Drosophila melanogaster: one gene and its partner. The protein of the gene in region 1 purifies or fractionates together with the protein of each later gene. This does not show direct contact. Each region holds a gene or a part of one and is shown on either strand. Other genes may lie near its edges. The genes, in order: HDAC6 and Ufm1.

The links.
Region 2: the proteins of HDAC6 (region 1) and Ufm1 purify together in Drosophila melanogaster (affinity purification with mass spectrometry, with the first as the bait; one large-scale study listed by BioGRID). This does not show direct contact.

Annotation. Positions count from the first base shown.
Region 1 is NC_004354.4:15,327,002-15,345,977, forward strand, and holds HDAC6 (histone deacetylase 6), read left to right. Parts: upstream 1-7,476; 5' UTR 7,477-7,649; coding exon of another isoform or gene 7,650-7,673; 5' UTR 7,674-7,955; coding exon 7,956-8,267; exon of another isoform or gene 8,268-8,348; coding exon 8,349-8,479; exon of another isoform or gene 8,480-8,544; coding exon 8,545-8,728; exon of another isoform or gene 8,729-8,970; intron 8,971-9,288; coding exon 9,289-9,560; intron 9,561-9,613; coding exon 9,614-11,021; intron 11,022-11,070; coding exon 11,071-11,703; intron 11,704-11,835; coding exon 11,836-11,923; coding exon of another isoform or gene 11,924-11,973; exon of another isoform or gene 11,974-12,091; intron 12,092-12,625; coding exon 12,626-13,014; coding exon of another isoform or gene 13,015-13,167; 3' UTR 13,168-13,359; downstream 13,360-18,976. Other genes in the region: dah (discontinuous actin hexagon), read left to right, coding at 1,443-1,671, 1,735-1,951, 2,009-2,866, 2,931-3,048, 3,111-3,270, 3,333-3,700; CG9114 (uncharacterized protein), read right to left, coding at 4,026-4,486, 4,543-5,941; CG9123 (uncharacterized protein), read right to left, coding at 13,522-13,990, 14,085-14,161, 14,221-14,979; CG12608 (uncharacterized protein), read right to left, coding at 16,006-16,501, 16,596-16,672, 16,732-17,490; Prp5 (pre-mRNA processing factor 5), read left to right, coding at 18,405-18,421, 18,487-18,762.
Region 2 is NT_033778.4:16,948,392-16,954,967, forward strand, and holds Ufm1 (Ubiquitin-fold modifier 1), read left to right. Parts: upstream 1-3,445; 5' UTR 3,446-3,662; intron 3,663-3,760; 5' UTR 3,761-3,846; coding exon 3,847-4,110; 3' UTR 4,111-4,190; downstream 4,191-6,576. Other genes in the region: mute (muscle wasted), read right to left, coding at 325-1,699, 1,761-2,089, 2,150-2,283, 2,351-3,359, 4,213-4,684, 4,745-5,813, 5,868-6,198, 6,264-6,576. UniProt on the Drosophila melanogaster protein: Ubiquitin-like modifier which can be covalently attached via an isopeptide bond to substrate proteins as a monomer or a lysine-linked polymer.

The DNA of each region.
Region 1 (18,976 bases):
AACTCTGAAGCAGCGCTATTTGTCGACCGACCGCCCCCGAAAATGAAGAACAAAGCCACATTGGATGGATCTCGATGTGGTTTCGCTTTGATTTCGTACCTTATGATCATTTTAGTTAACATTTCGAAATATACAAATGCTAAATTGATTTGCAGACAGACCCTTAACTTTCTATACTCTAAGCAGACAGGTTTCAAGTTCTCAACCGCAAACCAAGCCGCCATCACACTGAAAACCAATTGCAGATACAAATCAAACGAGCAATTCAAATAACTCGATGAACCAAAACAGAAACACAGCCAGCAAACCAGTCGCAGCGAAAGAAAGAACTTTAATCTGAAAGAAAGGAACTTTATACATATAGAATCTATAGAAGTATGTGCAATTAAGTGAGCTAAAACTATACCTTAAACCTTGTAAAAATCGAGCCTTCACTTGAATCCTTCAGTCGACGAGAGCAGTGGATTCAGGTGGAGTTAGGAACATCCCCAACATCCATGTGCCCCAATCCCATCAGCTACGATTATGGCCGTACTTTTAACTAAGCAAATCGATGGAAATTTATATCTCGCCTCACGCCCCCCCTAGCATAAATGGCAAACGCGCATTGCAAATGAAGAGCGAACGATCTTTATATACATACATATAAACACACACACACACACGCCCAAACACATATTATAATTAGTGATTGATATAATGTGAACGCAAACATCTGTGTGCGTTTGTCGTGGATTCGCATACGGAAGCGGGAGAATGCTTTTAAAAGGCAAAAAAAAAAGTTAAATAAACTAATTACGAACCCTTCTTCGAACGCCCAGCCCCGCCCCGCCCCGCCACAACACTCACATATAAACTTGGCATATTATAATATTGATATAAGCAAACAAAAAACAACAAGCGAAATGATAAGAAACCCACTATTTTAAATCGAAAGCAAAGTAAATGAAAAACAAAATAGCATAAGTGAATGTAATTGCAATGGAATGATGCAAATATACATAAAATATATATTTAATTTTAAAATCTATGTGACACTCTTTCCATTTCCTCGTTTTGGGTAATTATTCGCATTCAAAAGAAGGGTTTTTAAATAACTTTGTTTTGTTTTTGAAATTGGGAAAATACTATGGTGAACCCAAGTTGTTCAGTTTACATTTCCCGTTGCTCAAACTTATTTACCAATTATTATATCATGGTCAAATATTCTTAGAACGAACGGATGACTTAATTAATGATAATAATAATTTTGAATCAAATTTAAAGCGCTAACGGTTCGGCGAAGTGATATCGATAACACGCGCGGCGTTGCCACCTCACGCCACACAATTTGACTTTTGCGCTAACGGAAGAGGAAGAGATCGCGAGAAACGACGCGTTTAAAAGAGACTGAAATTAATTCGAGAATCAAGGGAAATATATAACAATAAACGCCTGACAAAATGCTGAGATCGTCGGTGCCCGTGCAGCTGACAAAACTGCGAAATAGCGCCGAGGCCGTGGCGTCCATTGCCCGCGAAAAGGGATCCCAAGGTGGCCAAGGACAAAAGCAACAGGTGGACAAAGAGCTATCCACCATCATGGATGACTTGCAGCGGGATTACGGGAATTACAAGTACACGGTATACCGGTGCGCCAGTAAATTTGTGGCGCTGCAAAAGATATTTCACAGTGAGTCAGTCGCGTAGGTGGTCCATTCGAAGGAGTCCCCAAGGATTAACCTTCAAATTGCAGCTGGAAAAATCCCCTACAAGCTGGTTTTGGCCATTTTGGATCGCCATAACTTGAGTGGTGGCCTGGAACTGATGGTTCCTCCATTCCAGTTGACCTCCCTGCTGCACGATGTATACTTTGCCTGCGAGAAACTAGGCCATTTCAACCAGGATGCGAACTATAAACTGGACAGGGCAACCGGGCTGTTGGCCAACTTCTTCTGGAATGTCTACGATCCGTGGGTTGAGTTTCTGGCATCTTAAGAATATGTCTGATATTTGATTGGTTTCGCTAGGCAACGCAGACACTCCATATCCCTGTTAGAGATCAGGATCACCTTCATACTGCTGTGCAAGCTATATAGCAGCGATCACCTGGTGGGCGACATCTTTGGCCTGCTGGCCGATCCCAAGTCGCAGATCATCTCCAGATATGCATTCGAACAGCTCCTAGCCACGCTGAGCAAGTTACTCAGCTATTTGGGCGAGGCCAAGGCCTATGGCGTCCACAATCTTCCGTTGGCTATGGAGCAGTGCTTTGCCCGCTGTCCGCATGGCGTTGGTGGACTGACCGAGCCGCAGTTCCACAAACTCTGGACGGGAGCGGGTGTCCAGACGAGATTCCTGATCTATGGCAATCTGCTGGCACTGGTGAAACGCATCGAGGACACCGAGCATTTGATTCACAGTAATTCTTGTGCCGGCTGCCGCAAGGAGCACATTGTGGGCATACGTTTCCGGTGTCAGGTGTGTAGGGATATATCGTTGTGCCTGCCCTGCTTTGCAGTGGGCTTCGCTGGTGGTCGCCACGAGCCGGGTCATCGGATGTGCGAGGTCTTCGTGGAGGATCAGCCGCCATTGCGTTGGACCCGCCACCTGGCCAGGCTGTGCGGCTGGCTGGTGATGCCGCGCAAAACACAGGAGGAGGAGCGTCGCGGCTTCTGTAATGCGCAGGAGAGTGGGCCCGCCTTGGGTCAATCCGCTGCCACGCCCATTCCCGCAGAGACGCGCAGTGTGCGCAGTCAGTGCCAGGAGAAGGACCGCACAGTTGTCCTGCAGCAACAGCAGCAGGAGCTCTGCTCCCTGACGGGTCTAGCCAGCGAGGCGTCCAGCAGGCTGCAGTCCATCATCGATCGATTGCTTTTGCAAAATGCGTGGGTGTTTTCCCTTCTTTCGCCACACTTGTTAGCCAAGCCTTAAGGTTCTCTTGCATTTCAGGAAGCTGGAAACCCAGCTGCAAACAGTGGCCACCGCATCTAGTTCGGAAATATCGCAGTTTCTGAGCGCCCATCAGTGCTTTCTGCTGCAGATTATCGAGGATATGCGACAGCTATCAGTGAGTTTTCCAAACATTCGGCCCATTTAAGCTGAGCTAACTCCATTTATATACACTTGCAGCATGCCTCAGCGGTAACTTCGCCGCCACCTGCGCCAGCTGCCCAAGTGGCGCCTTCAGCTGCGCCCCTAGTCAGCTCCACGTTCCTTAGCTCCAGCACGCCTCAGCGACAGATGCTATTCGACATGTATGCGCCCGTGGGTGCCAATCTCACGCACTCCAGTAAGAAGAGAACCTTCAACAGAGCCATGAGACAGCTCCACTAAGTTAATCGTTTCTTGTAGTAAATGGCGCCGACTTGAATCGCAGCTATCTGGAGGCAAACAAATCGGATTACTCGCTCAACGACATAAGCTTGTGGTTCGACCAGCGTCGCTCGAGTGTCCAGCCAGGACAAGGACCTGGTTCCCTGCCGGCTCCTCTGCCGCTGCCCATGCCGCTGGGTGCTCTACTGGAACAGCAGCCGGCAAACGGCGGAGATGGCCGCGACACCGAGATGGTGAACTTTAAGCTGCTGCTGCACAAGGTCAAGGAGATCGTCGAGGACTCGTACAGCGATAATGCCGAACTGTCGGCGGCCACGCAAAATCTGGAGAACGTTCTCGATAGCATCATCAAGAGCGAGGAGCAGCAGCGGCGCATCAGCACGTGAGGATCCGGATCGGATACCAACTCCCATCGATTCCAGCCAGACCAAGTCCACTTAGCTTTAAGTTGTAAAGTTGTTCTAAAGTAATCGTGACAAAATGACACAACCGAGTCATGCATTTATTATATCCTTCTTCCTTTTCCCATGTGCTTTAACATTCGCGTAAATGCTTTAATTTGTAAACTTACAACTCTGACAAGAATGCAATACAACAAAATGTTTTTATAAAAATATACAATGCAAAAAACACATTGTTAACAAAGCATTTACATACAAAATATCAACTTTGTAGATTTTCCAATGCAAAGAGAAGAAAAAAAAAACGCATTTACGCCCCATTGTCATCATCATCATCGGTGAATAGCATAGAAGCCAACACATCGCTGGCCATTTGTGCCTTGTGGAGCTGCGTCAGCTGCTCCCGGCGCTGCTCCACACTGGCTGCCGGCTCACTCAAAACCTTCCAGGCGTCCATCTCCTCGAACAGACTGTTTAGCAACTCCATCTCCATGTCGGCAGGCGACATGTTGTGCTCAGCGACCTCTAGCACATTGAGGTTGCAGTGCAGCTGGAGGAGATCGCGCGTCAGGCGATGCAGTAGCAGACGCAATCGATCGTCCGTTCTGGCGTACACATGCCAATGCTTTCCGGGATCGTCGCGAAGCAGCAAGGTGTCACACCACTGTGACTGCGGCTGGCGATTGTAGAAAATACGCTGGACAGGATCGGCGGCGATGTTGGAAGACTGAAAGTGAGACCCAGGCTCACTGTCGTCCAGCAAGTCGGAAGCTGTAAGGGATTATGAGTTAAAAGGGACAACAAGTGGTCTTGACAAAGCTACTCACTCGGCTCCTTGTTTGCTTCCTGGGCTTGGATCAACTGAAACTGCAGCGTGGAGACGAGTAGCTGCTCGAATGTCGTGCAATCCTGGGCCGACTGGAACTCCAATTTCAGGGAGCAACGTGCCGTGTGCGTCATAATAACGGCCAAAAAGTCTTGGTGCAGCGTGGCGGGCGAAAATGTGGGTGCCAACGATTCTGTTTTATCGAGCAGTTTCTTCACATCGAAGGTAATGAGATGGATTTGCCTAGGGGATGCATCCTCGCCCATCTCGTACGTTGCCATCAATATGAGTTTCTCTGCCTCAAGAAGATCGACCAGACGCAGGCTCACTACCATCGCGGCAGATCGTTCCGGCGGTAGTATTCTTTCCTTCTCCACCGGTCGCCATTTGAGACGCCTGCTATGCTGATCCTGGCAGGCCCAAAACTGCGCCAGCTGGTCGTAGTCCTCGGGTGGTTGGCCATCCGCCTGCAGAGGCAGCTCGTACAGGCGGTGCTCCACGCTAAAGTCGGTGTGTGGTTCGATTACAACAATCGGATACAACTCCTTGACTATGGTGAGGCGATTGGTGCCAGTTATGTTGACTAGCAGAGTGCCACAAACAAAATAATCGCCGCAGATCCGAGTCCATACATCGCCGAGTCGTCGGAGCGGCTGCTTCTCCTCAAGGAGCAGCGAACGCTGGCCCGGCGTGCCGAAGTATAGAAGGTCTTGGACGTGGGCTAATTCCTTCTGGTTTTGCATTCGCTGGCTGTCGAGCTCGGCTTGGGCGCGGTGCACCTCCTGCAGCAGGTTCTCGAAATCCTTCGCGGGCAAGCCCGCATTTTTGGACGTGCTGGGCTCCTCATTTAAGAAATCCTCCTGGAAATCACAACGCTGACGCTTGCCATTGCCGAACTCCAGTTCCACAACGGCCTGGAAGGAAATGGGACCTTCGACCATCTGGTAGTCCACCACATCCTTGTGATCCGCCACCAGTTCGAAGTTGGCCCCGTGATCCTTGGGCCTCTTTAGGACGACGAGATGCTTCCAGCACTGAATTAACAGGTAGATGCCCTCCCGTTGCCACACAAACTTTCCAAATTTGAGGGGCAAATCCTCCGGCGGATCCAGCATGCTCCAGTCCACCTTTTCGTCAGTGGGTTCCTGCTTGGACAGAAAGGGACAAACCGGTCCGTCGTAGGCCTCCAGTTGGGTGGCTATTTGCTTTAGTTTCGTGACCTTCAAATCGATGTAGTGCACCAGATCCTTGCGCCGGAATTCGTAGAACTTTAGGTTTCTCGCTAAAACCAATGTAGTGGGGTCATCCCGCGGTCGGCCCACGTGAAGATTGGCGCAGAAGGCCAACCGGGCCGGCTGGAGCAGCATCTCCGGCACATTCTCCTGGACAAACGGCAGCATGGATGCGGAAGCCACAAGATGGATGTGGCGCCCTTGACTCGAAAGCCCTTCGAATCGATAGCTATTGAATTCAAGTAGTAGTTATCGATGCGGTGAACGATATTAGGCTATTTTGAAATGGAAAAACCAATATTAATCGAGTTTCGAATGCTCCTTTTAGCGAGAGGTAAGTCTTTAACACCGCATAAACACAATCAGTGTTGCCTAACCAATCTGTGCCCTCCACTTTCTCTCATAATCAAGCAATTTCTCATAAAAAACGCACATCGATAAGCTGATAACGTTGGCCCTCGACTAACACCGATTATTCAACAAGTTGTGTCAATCGGCGGAGCAGCTGATCGTTGTAAGTAGCAAGAAGAAGACGCCACACAAACATTGCACTCCGCTCCGCCCGCGCGTTCTCATTTCCCATCTCTCTCACTCTGTCTCTCGCGCTCACCGTCTCTCTCTCTCGCTCCGCCTCGCAACCCCCACAGCGCTCCACAAACCGGGCCCCACATTCTTGTGTGTGATTTCTGGTTCAGGTTCTGATTTCCCGCGTGTCCTTGTGTGTGTGCGCGCTGCAGTGTCTGTGTATCTGTTACTGTTGCTGCATCTTCTGCATCAACTGCAACGTTACCAAAAATCAAAAGACAATCGCCTGCAAAAGCTTAATTTTGTTGCTCAGTGTTTTAAGTATTAGCTGTTTGCAAGCAGCACACACACGTAAGAAACAACAAGAACAACGATAAAAGACAACAACACAAATGCAGAGCATTTGAAGCGCAAACACACACAAGCATTCGGTGCGGCTGTAAGAGCGAGACACAAAATAAGGCTAATTTATAAAAGAAAAGTGTGCTGCAAGGAATCGATAAATAACGGGAGTCGAGGAGCGGAATAGGAGTAACCAATAAATATAAATACTGTAAATGCGATATTAAAAAGCGACAACAACAACAAAAAGCAGCTGTGAATCACTCCGTCCCGCTCCCCCGCGCTTTCAGTCACTCCAGTTGCTCCACTTCCATATATATTCGGATTTGGACTCCGATTCGGATACGGATTTCGCTTGGTTCGATTCTGTTTTCTTCGGATCGGTTTAGCTTTGCTTGCCAACTCGAAATCCCACAAACATGGTGAGTACTGGCAGATTATTGCCGCCGTTTTCGAGTTGTTTTGGCCAAAAGCGGCAGTGGCAACCAAACAGCAACACCCACACACCACACACACACGTACAGTGCAAGCTTCTTGGCCAGGTTTTGAGCTCCTCCATCGCCGCAGTTCCAATCCGAACTTCGTGGTAAACAGTTGTCCGCTGAAAACGCAGTGCAGCCTCCGCGTGAAGAACGCTCTGAATATACGGTTTCAAAGTCCTAAGAGGTTGTTTATATGAGTCTAAGTACAGCTACAAGATATATTTAAGCTATGCTTTTCGAAACTATCGTGTAGTTGTTCCAAATACAGTGAAACCTCAATGTTCGGTTTTTGAAGTTAAAAAGAAATATAAACATATATTTGAAGTTTACAAACTGTACAGTATTAATTTGAGCAATAAACCCAACAGTCCAGATTTGAAGTTTTTTTGACATGTTTCAAATTTTTAATATTCTAGCATAGTGTAACGTAAAACATGATTAAATGTTTAGCAACAGCAAAAAAACTACATTTTTGCAAATAGTAAACAAAATTTTAAGCAGTTAACCGAAAAAGTTACAGACCATAGATGTTACGCGATATTTGGATACAGGTTTTAATCCAGATTAGTTGCAATCCAGATTCCTAAAGTCCTATGTCAATCGCCGTAATCTTCGATTGAAAAAGGCCGAGAGTTGCTTTTTTATGTGGTAACATTGGTAAAATCTTTCATGCCATTCCACATATGGTTGTTTGGAAAGGGTTAGGTAACTGGATTCTTGAGCACTTGTCTCACCCCAGTGGGCAATCAAATTCGCCTGTGGGAGCAGCACTGGCGATCCATCTGTGCATGAATCCCCGCCAGAAGCTGCGTTGTGTGTCTACCTAGCGGGAAATGCTTACTAAAGATTTAAATTCGTTTTCGCAGAGCCCGCCCATCGTCACGCGACGGAGTGCGCAGCAGGCAAAGATTCAGACACGGGCAATGGCCAGTAAATCGAAGACGGGCACGACAGGGGCGGCGACGGCGGCCGGCGGCACCGGCAGCAGCAGCGGCAGTATCAGCGGCGGATTTAATGCCGCCGATCCGCGAAAGTCGAACAAACCGAACGCAGCGCTCTTGGAGGCGAAACGTCGAGCTCGGAACAACATGCTCAAGAATCAGGGCTGCGGATCGCAGGAGAGCGTCACGGATATATTCCAGAATGTGAGTGCTATCTGACTGACCTCTATCCTCTGTCCTTGTGCAATCCTAACCAAGTGATATTTAATCGTCGCCGACGAAAAGGCTGTCAACAGCAAGAGTCTGGTGCGGAAACCAACGGCACTGATCTACGATGAGTCCATGAGCCAGCACTGTTGCCTGTGGGACAAGGAGCACTACGAGTGTCCCGAGCGCTTCACACGAGTCCTGGAACGGTGAGTATATTTGAAGAAAACGGTACAAATTAAGCTGATATGTATTCCCTAATCTCCTCATCCAGCTGTCGCGAACTAAATCTGACGGAGCGCTGCCTGGAGTTGCCCTCGAGATCGGCGACCAAGGATGAAATTCTGCGCCTGCACACAGAGGAGCACTTCGAGCGGCTGAAGGAGACGTCCGGGATTCGCGATGACGAGCGCATGGAGGAGCTGAGCTCCCGCTACGATTCAATTTACATTCATCCGGTGAGCAAGCGCATCCAACGGGGAACATGGAACAGTGCATCCCAGTGCCTGGCTCCAAATTAGCTCATTTTATTGTATTTGCACTTGATTGCTTGCGGAGATTGCGTTGTTTTTAATTCGACGGCTTGATAAATGCAAATTGGAGCAGATTAGATTAGATGCGACCCATTGCACAGGTACAGTGCGGTGCATAAATGTAAATGGTTGAGTGACTGGCATAAATTATGCAAATGATTATACCTCCGAACTTAAAATGCATTTATTCCCCGATTGTAATTCTAATATGTCTATTCTTGTTGTGATATTCATTATCTTTATATTGCGTGCAATCTTTATTTAGTTTGCTCAAACTTTAGTTATTAATTATTACGACTGCCCGCAGCTTTTATTACTTTATATTTCATTAGCTAAATCCTCCAGCAATCTGAAGCGCACTGTAAATTCGTTAAAATGGGCTGGTACTCATACTATTACATCCTAGATAAGATTCCCGCTGTTTTACTAGCACCGAACTTGTTATATATAGAACACTGATAACCTTATCCGCCTCCCACCCGCAGTCCACATTCGAGCTCTCCCTGCTGGCCAGCGGCTCCACCATCGAATTGGTGGACCATCTGGTCGCCGGAAAGGCGCAGAATGGCATGGCCATCATCCGGCCACCGGGTCACCATGCGATGAAGGCCGAGTACAACGGTTATTGCTTCTTCAACAACGTGGCACTGGCCACCCAGCACGCCCTCGATGTTCACAAGCTGCAGCGCATCCTGATCATCGACTACGATGTGCATCATGGGCAGGGAACCCAGCGGTTCTTCTACAACGATCCCAGGTAAAGTTGGCAATATATGTTTAGTATTCTCATTCATCGTGTGTGTGTTTCAGGGTGGTTTACTTCTCCATCCATCGCTTCGAGCACGGAAGCTTCTGGCCGCATCTGCACGAGTCGGATTACCACGCCATTGGATCGGGAGCGGGCACGGGATACAACTTCAATGTGCCGTTGAATGCGACGGGTATGACCAATGGCGATTACCTGGCCATTTTCCAGCAGCTGCTGCTGCCGGTGGCCCTGGAATTCCAGCCGGAGCTGATCATCGTTTCGGCTGGCTATGATGCGGCGCTGGGCTGTCCGGAGGGTGAGATGGAGGTGACGCCGGCCTGCTATCCGCACCTGCTGAATCCGCTGCTGCGACTGGCCGATGCCCGGGTGGCCGTCGTTCTGGAGGGCGGCTACTGCCTGGACTCGCTGGCCGAGGGTGCGGCCCTAACCCTGCGCTCCCTGCTCGGCGATCCTTGTCCGCCGCTGGTGGAGACAGTGCCACTGCCGCGTGCGGAACTCGCCCAGGCCCTGCTCAGCTGCATTGCCGTGCACCGACCCCACTGGCGATGTCTGCAGCTCCAGCAGACCTACGATTGCGTCGAATTGCAGGATCGGGATAAGGAAGAGGATCTGCACACGGTACTGCGCCATTGGATTGGTGGACCACCGCCTATGGATCGTTACCCTACGCGCGATACGGCCATTCCGCTGCCGCCGGAAAAGCTGACCAGCAATGCCGCTCGTCTGCAGGTGCTGCGCGCGGAGACGAAGCTATCGGTGCCGTCGTTTAAGGTGTGTTATGCCTACGATGCCCAAATGCTTCTGCACTGCAATCTCAATGATACGGGGCATCCGGAGCAGCCGTCGCGCATCCAGCACATCCACAAGATGCACGACGACTACGGTCTGCTGAAGCAGATGAAGCAACTGTCCCCCAGGGCGGCCACCACAGACGAGGTGTGCCTGGCCCACACTCGCGCCCATGTGAATACAGTGCGTCGATTGCTGGGCCGCGAGCCGAAGGAACTGCATGACGCTGCTGGGATCTACAACTCGGTGTATCTGCATCCGCGCACCTTCGATTGCGCCACCCTGGCCGCCGGTTTAGTGCTGCAGGCGGTGGACAGTGTGCTGCGTGGCGAGTCCCGCAGCGGCATCTGCAACGTCCGTCCGCCGGGCCATCATGCCGAGCAGGATCATCCGCACGGCTTCTGCATTTTCAACAATGTGGCCATTGCGGCGCAGTATGCCATTCGGGATTTCGGTCTGGAGCGTGTGCTGATCGTCGACTGGGACGTCCATCACGGCAATGGGACGCAGCACATTTTCGAGTCCAATCCCAAGGTGCTCTACATCAGCTTACATCGCTACGAGCACGGCTCCTTCTTCCCGAAGGGACCCGATGGCAATTTCGATGTGGTGGGCAAGGGAGCCGGCAGGGGCTTCAATGTGAACATACCCTGGAACAAGGTGGGTTTTTGCACACTTACGGGCCCAACTCATTCCACTCACTTTGCAGAAGGGCATGGGTGACCTGGAGTACGCACTGGCCTTCCAGCAGCTGATCATGCCCATTGCGTACGAGTTCAATCCGCAGCTGGTGTTGGTATCCGCCGGATTCGATGCTGCCATCGGCGATCCCTTGGGCGGATGCAAGGTGACGGCCGAGGGCTACGGCATGCTCACCCACTGGCTGTCGGCTTTGGCCAGCGGCCGGATAATCGTTTGCCTGGAAGGTGGCTACAATGTGAACTCCATTTCGTACGCGATGACCATGTGCACCAAGACGCTGCTGGGTGATCCCGTGCCGACGCCCCAGCTGGGAGCCACGGCGCTGCAGAAGCCACCAACGGTGGCCTTCCAGAGCTGTGTGGAATCGCTGCAGCAGTGCCTGCAGGTGCAGCGCAACCACTGGCGCTCGCTGGAGTTCGTCGGACGGCGGCTGCCGCGGGATCCCGTTGTGGGCGAGAACAACAACGAGGATTTTCTTACCGCCTCCTTGCGACACTTGAATATCTCAAATGACGATGCTACGGCTGCGGCGGGCGGACTCGCCGGCGATCGTCCCGACTGCGGCGATGAGCGGCCCAGCGGGAGCAAGCCCAAAGTCAAGGTAAAAACGCTCAGCGACTACTTGGCGGAGAACAAGGAGGTACGAGGACAGCACTGCGCTTATCCCTCAGCTGGCAACTAATCGCTTCTTTTCGTGCCTTTCTTCATCTCGATCCCATGCCCTGCAATCTCTGCCCCTCGATCCCGTTCCCGATCCCCATTCGCGTGTCAGGCCCTCGAGCAGAGTGAGATGTTCGCCGTGTATCCGCTCAAGACGTGTCCGCACTTGAGGCTCCTACGTCCGGAGGAGGCGCCCCGATGTAAGCCAATGCAGTCCGGAGAAGATTCCCTCCCCTTTTGGTCAAGATAATAGCACTTCTTAAGTGTGAACAAGTTGTCAAGAAAAATTCAGTTATTGAATCTCTTTGTATCTTTGTATTTGTATGCTGTGACCCATAAAAATAATTGGAAAAATGGTTTTATGACTCAAGTTAAGTCTTCAATAACGTATTTAACATTTTATATAAATGGGGAAGTTGTTTGAAATGCATATAGTGAAATACCCTATAAATCTGAAAAAATCGGGAAATACTTTACAGGAAGTGCTATTATTTTGACCAATTTTAAGGACTCTTCTTTCTTATAATGTTCATCGTTTTCTTTGCTTTTTGTGCTTAAAATTAGCAATTGGCTATTTTTCTAAATTACTTATAACTGCTTAATGGTTTATGTGCATATGGCATGCAATCTTTTTGTGCTTGGCGGCTGTTTTTTCTTTCAGTATCCTTGCGTTTATTGCATTTTTTGAAAAGGTTTTTTGCTTCAATCCTTACGTTTTAGCAATGTAACTTTGGGTTTTAACCAAAAATCTGCCGTGTGATTTGCTTTTATCTAACTTTATCTTAGTTTAAAACTTTAGAACATTTGATATATCGCCTGCATGTGAACAGCTTCTTGAGCTATACGCTACTCAATCCTGACACAACTAACATACTTTCTCAACGATTTCCCATCCAAATCAGCACTAGACAGCGGAGCGGAGTGCAGCGTTTGCGGATCGACGGGGGAGAACTGGGTGTGCCTGAGCTGCAGGCATGTGGCCTGCGGTCGCTATGTGAACGCCCACATGGAGCAGCATTCAGTGGAGGAGCAGCATCCGCTGGCGATGAGCACGGCTGACCTGTCTGTGTGGTGCTACGCGTGCTCCGCGTACGTGGACCATCCCCGCCTGTATGCCTACCTCAATCCGCTGCACGAGGACAAGTTCCAGGAACCGATGGCCTGGACACATGGGTGTGCGTGGCGCGAGGATGGCTGCTATGCGACGGGGCCCGATGGGCGAGATGAGGATGACGATGATGATAATGGCGCCGGTAGCAGCATTTGCCTGCGACTGGAGCGCAACAACTGACCCTTAGCCATCCGCGTGCTGGACGCCCTCACGGACTACTTGTGCGCGCTCTGCCCGCCACTAAGGCACCTAATCCATTTCCTGGCCGAGCACCTCTGGCCGCTGCTGGAGCGCATTTACCTTAACCTGTTGCACTACTTCCTGGCCCACTGAGCACCCCATATCCAATCCTCTAGCCCGCACCCACAACTGATCTGAAAACTGCTGCAACTGGCAGCCGGTCGGTCATCCCCTGGAGATCCTGGCACCAGTCACCATACCATTTATACAAATGCAAATTGTTAAAGTTATCAACTAATGATCTAATAAATAATTCAAGTGTTTTTTGAGTTTATTTTCGAATACAGTTTCTAGTTTCGTTAATGAGATCGAACTTCTTAAGTTCAGAGGTATTTATTCATAATTCTGTTCATCCCAGCCAAATCGACAGTTCATCCACGGTTTTATTTAATCTATATTTCTAGATTAACTCAATATTTGTTGAGTCATAACGTTGGCTACTAAAAATTACTTCTTTTTCTGCTGCTTTGCCTTCCCCTTAGAAGCTGGAGTGGGTTGCTGCTCGCGCTTCATTGGCTTCCTCTTCCGGTGGCCGTGATCACTGGAGACATCGCTGTCGCTGTCGGAGAAGTCGTCGTTCTCCTTGTCTTCCGATGAGTTGCTTTCTTCTGAGGATTCCTCGTCTTTCTTGTTCTTCTTCTTTTCCTTCTTCTTCTCGGCATCCAGTTTCTTATCCTGCTCGTACTCGATGGTCACGAATCCCCGAGGTGCTGCCGGCTTGGCACTTTGGTCAGACTCCACTTTCGCCTTTGGTTTCTCCTCCACTTTGGTGCGTTGTTCCACCGGTCGGACGTTGCCGAACTGGCGGAGATCCAGCAGGCCCAAGTCGGTGGGTCGGCAGTCCATGAAGCTGCGGGCAATCTCCTCCAGCTTGCGCGTTTCCATGTCGATCTTCCAGACTTTGATTTGACCAGCGCTGGAAAAGATAAATTTGTATATATAAAAACGAATAATGTGATGGGTGTTCTTAGTTATCTGGGTGTAGCTTGGATTTTTATAGAATAACTCACATGGAGACGGTGGCCAGGAATTCGTTCAGATAGGCGATGGCCTTGACCCTTACCTCGTGTGCAAGAATGAAGGTGGGCTGCAAAGAAAGCGCATTTAAGTATCATAGATAACAGGCTGAGAAAGTGCAATTCTTACTGGTGTATCATCCTCGTCCTTGAGGGAAATCCAGGCAATGTTGCCGTTGTCCAGGCCAGTTAAACACTCGTTCCCATCCAGCCAGGTGATGCAAATGGGTTTCGACGGCATCTCAATGCGACGCATAACATGGGCGTTCTCGATGCCCCAGATCTCCAGAACCAATGGACCGCTCAGTGTGAAGTGATCGCCCTGCTTGGACCACGACAAACAGCCCGTTTGGAAATCCAGCGTAGCCTTGTTCTTTAAATTGGTCTTGTGGGCGACGCAGCCATTGACCAGATTCCAGGTGTTCAGCACCTGGTCGCCGCCCAAAGATAAGGCCAACTTGCTGCTGGGATGGCAACTGACATGGGTGACGGCCTGGCCGGCATGGGCCTTCTGCCAATCATACTCTTTGGTCCAGCTGCCCACGCGTGTGGCGATCATATGGCCATCATCGCTCCCGGAGAGCAAGAGCGACAGGTCAGGCGTGAATTTCAGTGTGTTCACTCTTCCGGCGTGCGAGAGTATGATCTGCGACTGTTTCCGCGTGCGCATGTCGTAGACGAAGATCCTGCCGTCGGTACCGCCACTGGCCACCCAAGGCCACTGCACGGCCAGCGATGTAATGGATCTTGCATAGGAGCTGTCTGCAAAAGTCTGTTTCAGCTCGAATTTGACGGAATCGGTGAAGCCGTCAGTCGGCGATTTGATGAGCTTGAAGCCCAGCAGGAGCTCCTCGTTGGTGGCCTCTATGATCTCCATTTCCGGCGGCATGGCAGCGGTTTGAAATGAAAATGGAAATGGAAAATTAAATGGATTTGTCGAATAAGTCACTAAATTCTATTCAAGAATTTATTTCTGCTGTCAAAACGTGTTCCAGCGGCAAGGACTATTCGAAGTTAGAGGCGGAGAAACTTTTTACGCCAACATCGATGACATCGATGTTTTCGAAATATCAGAAACATCGATGTTTTTCTAGGAATGTTAAGAACAATTGCTGGAGGATGAAAAGGTTGTCACCAAATACTGCCTTTTTATTTAAAATATTAAAAAATAATCCTTAAATAAAAAAGATCAATGATCGAAAAAGATTAAAGATAAAAAAGATTGTTTATATTTTATAACAACATCTATGTTTTTCGCCAAAAACATCGAAACATATAAATAATTTGAAAAATGGTTTTATGTCTCATGTTATATATTCAATATCGTATTTACTATTTTATTTAAACGGGAAAGTTGTTTGAAATGCAAATAGTGAAATACCCTATAAATCTGAAAAAAATCAGGAAATACTTTACAGGAAGTGCTATTATTTTGACCAATTTGCTTAATGATTTATGTGCATTTAGTATCTTGTGTTTATTGAGTTTTTTGAAAAGTATTTTTATTGAATCCTTACTGAATTGAAATCCATGCGAAAATTACGTTTTAGCAATGTATCTTCGGGTTTTAACCAAAAATCTGCCGTGTGATTTGCTTTTATCTAACTTTATCTTAGTTCAAAACAGTAGAACATTTAATATATTACCAGCACCAGTCACCCTACCATTTACACAAATGCAAATTGTTTAACAATTTCAACTAATGATCTAATAATTAATTTAAGTGTTTTTTTTAGTTTTTTTTTTCAAAAACAGTTTCTAGTTTCGTTAATGAGATCGAACTTCTTAAGTTCAGAGGTATTTATTCATAATTCTGTTCATCCCAGCCAAATCGACAGTTCATCTATGGTTTTTTTATCTATATCTCTAGATTAACTCAATATTTATTGATAGTCATAACGTTAGCTACTAAAAACTACTTCTTTTTCTGCTGCTTTGCCTTCCCCTTGGAGGCTGGAGTGGGTTGCTGCTTGCGCTTCATTGGCTTCCTCTTCCGGTGGCCGTGATCACTGGAGACATCGCTGTCGCTGTCGGAGAAGTCGTCGCTCTCCTTTTCTTCCGATGAGTTGCTTTCTTCTGAGGATTCCTCGGCTTTCTGTTGCGCCTTCTTTGCCTGTATCTTGTTCTTCTTCCCCTTTCCCTTCTTCTTCTCGGCATCCAGATTCTTATCCTGCTCGTACTCGATGGTCACGAATCCCCGAGGTGCTGCAGGCTTGGCACTTTGGTCAGACTCCACTTTCGCCTTTGGTTTCTCCTCCACTTTAATGCGTTGTTCCACCGGTTGGACATTGCCGAACTGGCGGAGATCCAGCAGGCCCAAGTCGGTGGGTCGGCAGTCCATGAAGCTGCTGGCAATCTCCTCCAGCTTGCGCGTTTCCATGTCGATCTTCCAGACTTTGATTTCACCAGCGCTGGAAAAGATAAATTTGTATATATAAAAACGAATAATGTGATGGGTGTTCTTAGTTATCTGGGTGTAGCTTGGATTTTTATAGAATAACTCACCTGGAGACGGTGGCCAGTAATTCGTTCAGATAGGCGATGGCCTTGACCCTTGCCTCGTGTGCAAGAATGAAGGTGGGCTGCAAAGAAAGCGCATTTAAGTATCATAGATAACAGGCTGAGAAAGTGCAATTCTTACTGGTGTATCATCCTCGTCCTTGAGGGAAATCCAGGCAATGTTGCCGTTGTCCAGGCCAGTTAAACACTCGTTCCCATCCAGCCAGGTGATGCAAATGGGTTTCGCCGGCATCTCAATGCGACGCATAACATGAGCGTTCTCGATGCCCCAGATCTCCAGAACCAATGGACCGCTAAGTGTGAAGTGATCGCCCTGCTTGGACCACGACAAGCAGCCCGGTTGGAGACCCAGCGTAGCCTTGTTCTTTAAATTGGTCTTGTAGGCGACGCGGCCATTGACCAGATTCCAGGTGTTCAGCACCTGGTCGCCGCCCAAAGATAAGGCCAACTTGCTGCTGGGATGGCAACTGATGTGGGTGACGGCCTGTCCGGCATGGGCCTTCTGCCAATCACCCTCTTTGGTCCAGCTGCCCACGCGTGTGGCGATCATATGGCCATCGTCGCTCCCGGAGAGCAAGTGCGACAGGTCAGGTGTGAATTTCAGTGTGTTCACTCTTCCGGCGTGCGAGAGTATGATCTGCGACTGTTTCCGCGTGCGCATGTCGTAGACGAAGATCCTGTCGTCGGTACCGCCACTGGCCACCCAAGGCCACTGCACGGCCACCGATGTAATGGATCCTGCATGGGAGCTGTCTGCAAAAGTCTGTTTCAGCTCAAATTTGACGGAATCGGTCAAGCCGTCAGTCGGCGATTTGATGAGCTTGAAGCCCAGCAGGACCTCCTCGTAGGTGCCCACTATGATCTCCATTTCCGGCGGCATGGCAGCGGTTTGAAATGAAAATGGAAATGGAAAATTAAATGGATTTGTCGAATAAGTCACTAAATTCTATTCAAGAATTTGTTTCTGCTGGCAAAACGTGTTCCAACGACAACGACTATTCAAAGTTAGAGGCGGAAAAACATTTTAGGCCAACATCGATGTCTTCGAAATATCAGAAACATCGATGTTTTCGGTGAATCAGCGATGTTTTTTCATCTCTATTGCTCATCGGAGAATAAAAGCGTATAAATTGTAAGTATAAATTAATTTTTATATATTCTAATACAATTATTAATGGCGTATTGCAAATTTAATGTGACTTGTTGGCTGGCGTCGTGGCTGTATAAATGTATTAGTCTCGTTCACTTTTCCATTGAATTGCATTATTTGGTATGATTTCCAATATGTATGTTTATATATGTTTTCTAAGAACAATTACTGGACCAGCGAAAAATGGGAAGGTGGACACCAAACGCAGCATACTGCAATATTAAAAAAGAAAATTATCTTTTAATCCTTAAAATATCCTTAGATAAAAATAGATTAAAGATAAAAAAGATAGTTTATATTTTATAACAACAACGATGTTTCTCGCCAAAAACATCGAAAACATCGATGTTCGCCAACAGTCTGCTTGCAGTCACTAGCAGTGACGGACCGCACCGTAACAGAGCTGTTAATGCTGTAATCGATAACTTTGATTGGCACTTGTGCGATATCTGACGTTTAATAAGTAGTATTTTGTGATATGTTGCGAATGAAAATTCGCTAATATCTGTATAAAAACAATTGCATTCTACTGCGCGCCGTGTCCGGGTAACTAAGGGCAGTGGGAATCGCGCATAGCCAGCACCGACCGTCATTTGGAGGCGTTGCATCGTCAAACCGGCGAACAGAAATCCAAAGAAAGCGCCATGTCGAAAAGTTCCGGGTAAGTTTTGCCTCATCAAATTGTTTGAAAACAGATATACTAATTGCTTTATTTTCCCGCAAAAGGCGCGATCGAGACAGGGAGCGCGACCGGGAGAGAGAGAGGGAGCGCGACCGTGAGAGAGAGCGCGACAGGGATCGTGAGCGGGACAACCGGCACGACAGTCGCAGTCGCGACTATGATATGGGCAAGTCCAGGAACGGTGGAGGCGGCGGAGCCGGTGGTGGCTCCCGGAACATGCGCGAAGACCGGAAGCGCGGAAAGGACATGATCAGCGATCGTGGAAAACGCGACGATAAGCGGAGGAAGTGCTCCAGGTCAAAGGATTACGAGAAGGACAAGTGAGCATGCGTTTTTCTCTACAAAAATACTGCCTTCAATGTGTGTCTGTGATTGAATAGGTTAAAATACTTCAAAATGTCGAAGGTTAATGTTAACACATTTATAAATGATTGGGTTATGTGTGAAAACGTCACGTTTTCAACCATATGAGATCCAATTTGGTGTGTCTGCTTTTATTTGCTTAAAAGTTAAAATGGTTCCCAAATATTTAAT
Region 2 (6,576 bases), on another chromosome or scaffold:
AAATTCAAACAATGCGACCTTCTTATCATATAGAAAAGTAAACTTAGACGGACACAAAAATATTAAATTCATGGTTTCAATATATCTATTAATAGTCAATTTCAACGTACAGTAGATTTCAAAATATTCAAATTTTTAATAATAAAACTAAGTATTCTGAAGGGAATTTTTGTATGCTTAAATAGGTAATCAGTACAACAAAGAATTCCCTTCAAAAAGTTTGGTTTGTAGGTATGGGGTAAACCATTTCGTTTATATACAGTTATTATTAGTATCCTATTTCAGCTTGGATTATAATACACAAAAGACCATCTTAGAGAAACCTCACTTTCCCTGCAATTTGGACAGAAAGTCCATAAGAAACTGATGCCTACTACGTAGTTCTTCTATACTGCGATTCTTTAGCTTGGCGCGCATACGCCGAATGAGCTGCTCTCGATCCCGTGCCCCTATTTTCATTTCGATCAGGATTACTTTGTCCTCTTCACGAGTCCAAGGTGCCGAGTGGGAACTACCAGACTCAGAGTGCGATGTGGTGGCAGGTAATGCCGCTGCCGATTCCGATCTATCTTCGGTGGTGGTGCAGTTCGCCAGCGTGGCCACAACATCCAGCTTGCAGTCCTCATCGCTATCGAATTGTGTTGTGATCACGTGCTGTGGTGTGTTGCCAGCACTTAATTGCAGTGGCTCCAGCTCCTCCTCCGATTGATCTGTGTCCATTTTGAGATTTGTACAGAAAGGCATATTCTCGGCACTTTCATCCAGGCTGACTACCTCGACTTTCGTAATAGCTTCAGAGCTGCATTGGTTTGGAGGTTGCTGCTTGGCTTGCGCAATAATTCGAATGCCCGCCTTTGTATCTGCTGCATCCCGCACGCTCTCCTGATCGATCAGCGTGCGCAAGCGCTTTGCACACTCAATGGCTGGCGAAGATGAAGGCTGAGACTCATGGATAACAACCATTGGCTGATTATTGGCACGTTGTCTGCTCTGAGTTTGATTAAGAGGAGATCGGATCTTCTTAGTAGGTGACTTTCGTTTGTCGACTTGAGGGGAACTGTTGGGGGCCGCCGATAAGGGACTCAATCCCGAGTTGTTAAATGCCGATTGCTTGCGTGGGGATATTTCACCAAAGTTTATGGCAGTTTTTTTGGCGTGCGGATGATGGGATTGGTGAGAGTTGCCCAGATTGGGCGTACTGGTCGCTGCATTGTTAAAGCTTGAGTTGGTATACAAGCCGGGATTCAATCTGATTGCATGTGCTCTTAAGCCTGTCTCATCGCACATCTCAATAGATGAGCAGCTGTTCTGCTCATCACTCGTGGTATCAATAATCAAGGCGCGGCTGGCATCATCTTCCTCACTCCGATCCGCGCCATCGTCGCTATCTGTATTGGAAGCCATACTAAGAAGTTTTTCTCCCTGGGCACGAATACCATGGGCGCAGTTTATCGAGTCACTGGAGACGGGTGGCACGTCATGAGATTGTTCATTGTAAATACTGGCAGCCATAAAAGACAGTTTGGCAGGCAATAGGATCTTGGCTCCATAAAATATGCGACCATTGATATACTTTAAGTGACAACCTGGTTTACTTGGCGTAGGTACATCTGTAAACTCTTGAATAGTTTCCGTATATTCTCCCGTTGTATTGTTTTGAACGTCATGCAAATTTATGGTCTCTACAGGAGAAAGGATTCTGGAAATAAAAGACAATGTTACATTAAATCAATCTCGAGTATTTTGTTTACCATTCTTACCTTTTTGGTGGTTTTCCCTGTGGGAATTGTTGCACAAACCAATCGATCAGAAATTGATTGCCCTTGAGCAAGGGCATTATCTTATTTTCAACTTTTTTCATGCTGACATTAGGCATTTCGGCCAACTCGTTTAGACAGGCATAAATCTTCCTGATTTGAGCTGGCTGCTTACTGAAGTAAATGTTAAGTTTGTTGATAAAGTTGGTAGCATTGCATATCATAAAGTGCTCAAAGAATTTTCCCATCTCAGCGGCCTCGGCAGGTAGCAAAAAGTTGAGGAATACTTCAGCCAGTTCGGGATGAGTGGGTAGCAAAATTTCTTCCACTTTCTAAGAACCCCAAAAAAAAATTAGAATGCAATAAGAGTAAGACACTTAAGTGATACATACCAAATACAAAGATGAAACTTTCTCCTGCCTGGGGTCGAAGTTTTGCAAAATACTGTTGAATTTTTTGCAATCATCTAGGCGATTGGCACTCAGCAAGGCCTCCTCTACCTTTTCATAAAAATTCATGGCAAAAACTGAACGTGCAAAATAATAAAATTATTCAAGTTGAATTTCATTAAATGGGATTGAACTAAAACTTACTGGCATCTTTGCGATTGCGCTCTTCTGTAGTATCCGGCTGGAGCATTTGGCGAAGCATCTCCTCCTGCCGGTTGGCTCTTCTCAGCTTCGCCGCCTCATCATCACTCCTAGATCTCTTTGGCTGCGCTGCCGTTTTAGAGTTTGTATTGCTGCAGAACATCCTCAGATCGACCAGAAGTTGAGTGTACAGTTCGAGGGCGAAAAAACGATTGTGCACGACCTGTACCAACTCGCAGTCTTTATATTTTTCGATGTGATGACGCAGGTAGGATTCATAGGTGGTGATTAGGGAATGACAGCGCTGGCTTAGTTTATGGCGCAAACGTTCGCGCAATATATGGTATCGACTGCGGGTTGGTGTTGACCCTTTTCGCGATTTATTGGCGGATTGAACCTTTGGCTTAAAGATTTGGTATCGCGCCCTTTTGGCGTTTCTGCCTGGGACGGAAGGGGTATCCTGCGCAGGCAACAGATCCGGCTGTACGGCCTTGCTGGATTCCTCCAATTCGCAGATTTGTAGTGTGTTAGTGAACTTGTCTACTGTGAAGTTGATGGCTGGCGGAGCATTTTCATCCAATGGTGGAGGAGCAGGCGGCAAGGCCAGCAGACTACTGCACTCGGCGGCGGTGTATAAGCTGCGATTGATGTTCAGTACGTTCTCGGCCAGATTTCCGCCGGCCACCAAGGGCACCGAAACCCCAGAGACCCCGGGTATGTTTCCCGCGCTCGTATTCCCGCCAAAAACATAATTCACATTGATGGTAAGCTGTGGTGGGTTTTCCGCAGGGCGGGGTCTCCTTTGCGCTGGCCTTTTCTTCGGTTTGCTCTCCTTGGGCGGTTCCGAACCAGCAGCACTGCCATTGGGGACCGCAGCCTGACCAAAAGTCTCTGGCAGCAGCAGGTCCTCGCCGACCGCCTCGCGTACAAACTCCAAATAAGAAGCACTAGCCACCGACGATGCTTTCGATGCTTTAAAATTGCGACGTGTGCGCTTTTGATCCCAAGTTTTCTGAAAAATAATAGATTGAAAATTGTCCGCGATTTATAAACACAGCGATGGCACAAGCTATGTATATTGATATCGATAACTTTGGTCGATGGTACCTAGCCACCGATGACCAGTGATTTATTTCGTAAAATAATTCTGCCAACAATCACTAGCAAGTATATTACTTAAAATTTAAGAGAAAAATTAATAAAGTTCTAAACATGTATTCCTAATTAGGTACGGACATAGGTACATTTATGCAAATATTACTCATCACAGACGATAACTCGCTGCCTTGCCTATCGTAATATTGACCGCACTAAAGTAAGAGCGTCAACATATTTTATTGTTTTTAAATAAAATACCCCTTAAAACTATTTTCAAACCAACTAATTTATACTTGTTTAAACTTTAACCACCAGGGCTCAAACACTCTGCCTGTGGAAAACATCGGAAACCCGTTTATTCCCATAGAGTATCAAAACTGACCACGTCTGCACATTCCACTATGAGCAAAGTAACCTTCAAAATCACGCTAACTTCGGACCCCAAGCTGCCCTTTAAGGTGCTTAGTGTTCCGGAGGGAACTCCCTTTACGGCTGTGCTGAAATTCGCCTCTGAAGAGTTCAAGGTTCCGGCGGAGACGAGTGCCATCATCACGGACGATGGAATTGGCATCAGCCCACAGCAGACTGCTGGTAATGTGTTCCTAAAGCACGGATCCGAGCTGCGCCTCATACCCAGAGATCGAGTGGGCCACCAACTAAGCTAGTTTTCCTAATCCCATCTTATTTACCCTTTGAGATTTTCCCCCTTTTTGATGCTTATTAAATGTTAAACAATGTATCCGATAATAACCCATTGTATTCCTTACCTCAATGTAGTATTGCCAGCCACTGGGAAGCTCCATGTGTCGTTCCCGCGGAGTTCTCACCAGCCCACCAGCGAATCCCCAAAGGATGGCGTTAGCGGGCGGTGCTCGACGATGTTCAAAGAAATACTTCACTGGATTGTACTGTTTTGAGTTGCGTAGCTCCGCGATTTTCAAGAAAATTCGGCGGGCAGTCTTTCCACAAATCGTATCCTTAATCATTCGCTTACAGGCAACGCGAATGGGATCTGCACCTTTGCGTAGTTGTCTCTTGGCTTTTACCATTAATGCCAAGTGCTTCTCTAGGCCAATGGCAATAAGCTGATATTCGGATGGTGCGTAAGCGGTGGTTTGAGTCAGTTTCGGTTGAAACGCCATACGGGGTAGGTACTGCGGATACATAAACACCCGGCTATCCAGCATGAGATCCATAATACGAGGCGCCAGCCTGGGAACCTGGCGCGTGTGGCCATCACTAAAATAGTAAATACAAGTTGTACAGCAGCATGTTTTGTTTAAAGTTTCACCAACTTACGTCAGATCCGTTTCCTTATTGATGAAGTCCATCATCTTCTCGTTCTCCTCCTTAAACTCATCACTGGACAGATCATGTTCCCATTTTCTAACCAGCTGAACAGCCTCCTGCAGATTCCAGCAATTAAAACTGGGATCTTTAGTTGCCATTTTGTGCAATTCTTCCAACATTTCTCTGGGCTTCTTGGCCATGGGGTACAACGTAGGATGGGAGTAGGTTTGCAGATAGCTTTGACTGAGCAACTGCGTGTGAATGCGAAGCTGCTGCTGAAGCATATCATGCTGAGACTGGGTAAATCCCCTGCTCCTGGCGAGATGATTGAGGTTTACTGGCTCTACGTTTCGCAGGCTCTCAAACTTTTCCTCATACTCCGAATATATATGTTTCCTAACCGAGATGTATTCCCAGGTGAAGTTCGTATCAAATGGTTTTTTATATCGATCTCCATTGCTTGCAGCTACCACGGGGGGTTCCATTGGATGCAAGCTAGAAAAGTTCTGCAGTGTCTCTTCAGTTAATGGAAGACCAACAGTTGAATCATTGCCTACAACTTTGGCGATTTGGAAGCAATTAGGTTGCCCAGGTATTGGAACAGCTATTAGTTCGGGGGGAACAGTCAGCGCCTCGGAAGGTATGTTTACCACATTGCAAGCGGATCCACCAGTTTCCTCCTGCAGCACAGCCACAGGGACAGGCACACCCATGCCCATTTCGTTCCCTTCGCAAGGAGGCGGCATTAGATTAGGTTGAAAAACGGACAGCTCCTGCTGATTAGCATTTATCTGCTGGCCATCAAAATCGATGTTACGGGACACTTGATCAATGGGAATCATCGAAACGTTGGCACTTTCAACGAATTTTTGAGGTGTTTCCAATTCAATCGATTCCAGAGAGACTCCTTCTTCCAGCAAACCAGCAAACAGCTCAGAGACCAGGTCAGTTAACTCTTTTTTAGATATATTTACATCGCGCAGCTCCTCGGCGTTCTCATATTCCGATTCCAAGTGATCAGCGGCCACATATTCTGGATCGTTAATAGGATCATCATCGTCGCCCTGGACCGTATTGTCTGTAAGATATTAAAGTTAGGGAGAGCATAAAAGCATCCATTGATACTACATACTTAAAGGCTTTGTAAAGTCATTGAGGAACTGCATCCAATCCGCATCGTTGGCGGTCATTTCGTTCTCCACCACATCGCTAGGCTCCACGTCCGGCGGGACAAATTCCGACTGCAAATCCTCAATGGTAGTTTGCTGCAAACAAAATTTGGAGCGCGTTCTAGTGGCAATCCTAAGATCCTCTTTATCCTGAAAATTTCTGTCCAACGGCACCTTGAAACAACCGTCATCAGAGAATTTGATAGGAGATTCCTCATTGGCAGTAAGAGGAGTTTGAGGCGTGCAGGGATTGGAGTCGAAATCCGATGCTGTAGTGTTAGGATCATCATCGGACTGATAATAAAGGAATAATAACAATTATTGAACAACGATCAATTGGCCTCAATGTTTATACTCACATGAAAGTCCTCCTCCTTGAAGGTATACTCCTCGTCCTCCTCATCAGAGTGCAAATCCTCACGTATTAGAGCCTCTATACCATTATTGTCGGTGGAAGTTTCATTGAGCTGGGGCAGCGAGATCCCAGGCGTGCAGTTCAGTTCCCGTGCTTTCGCTCGCGTTAGCTTGGGCACAGATGGAGTGTCCGTTATGATGATGGCACCCCGCTTTTGCTGCTCCGCCGACTCCAACTTCTCCCGCGCCAGCTCGTCCTCCGCCTTCAAAGTGACTAATGCCAGAACATGATCGTTGCGCACCACCTTCCGGACCACC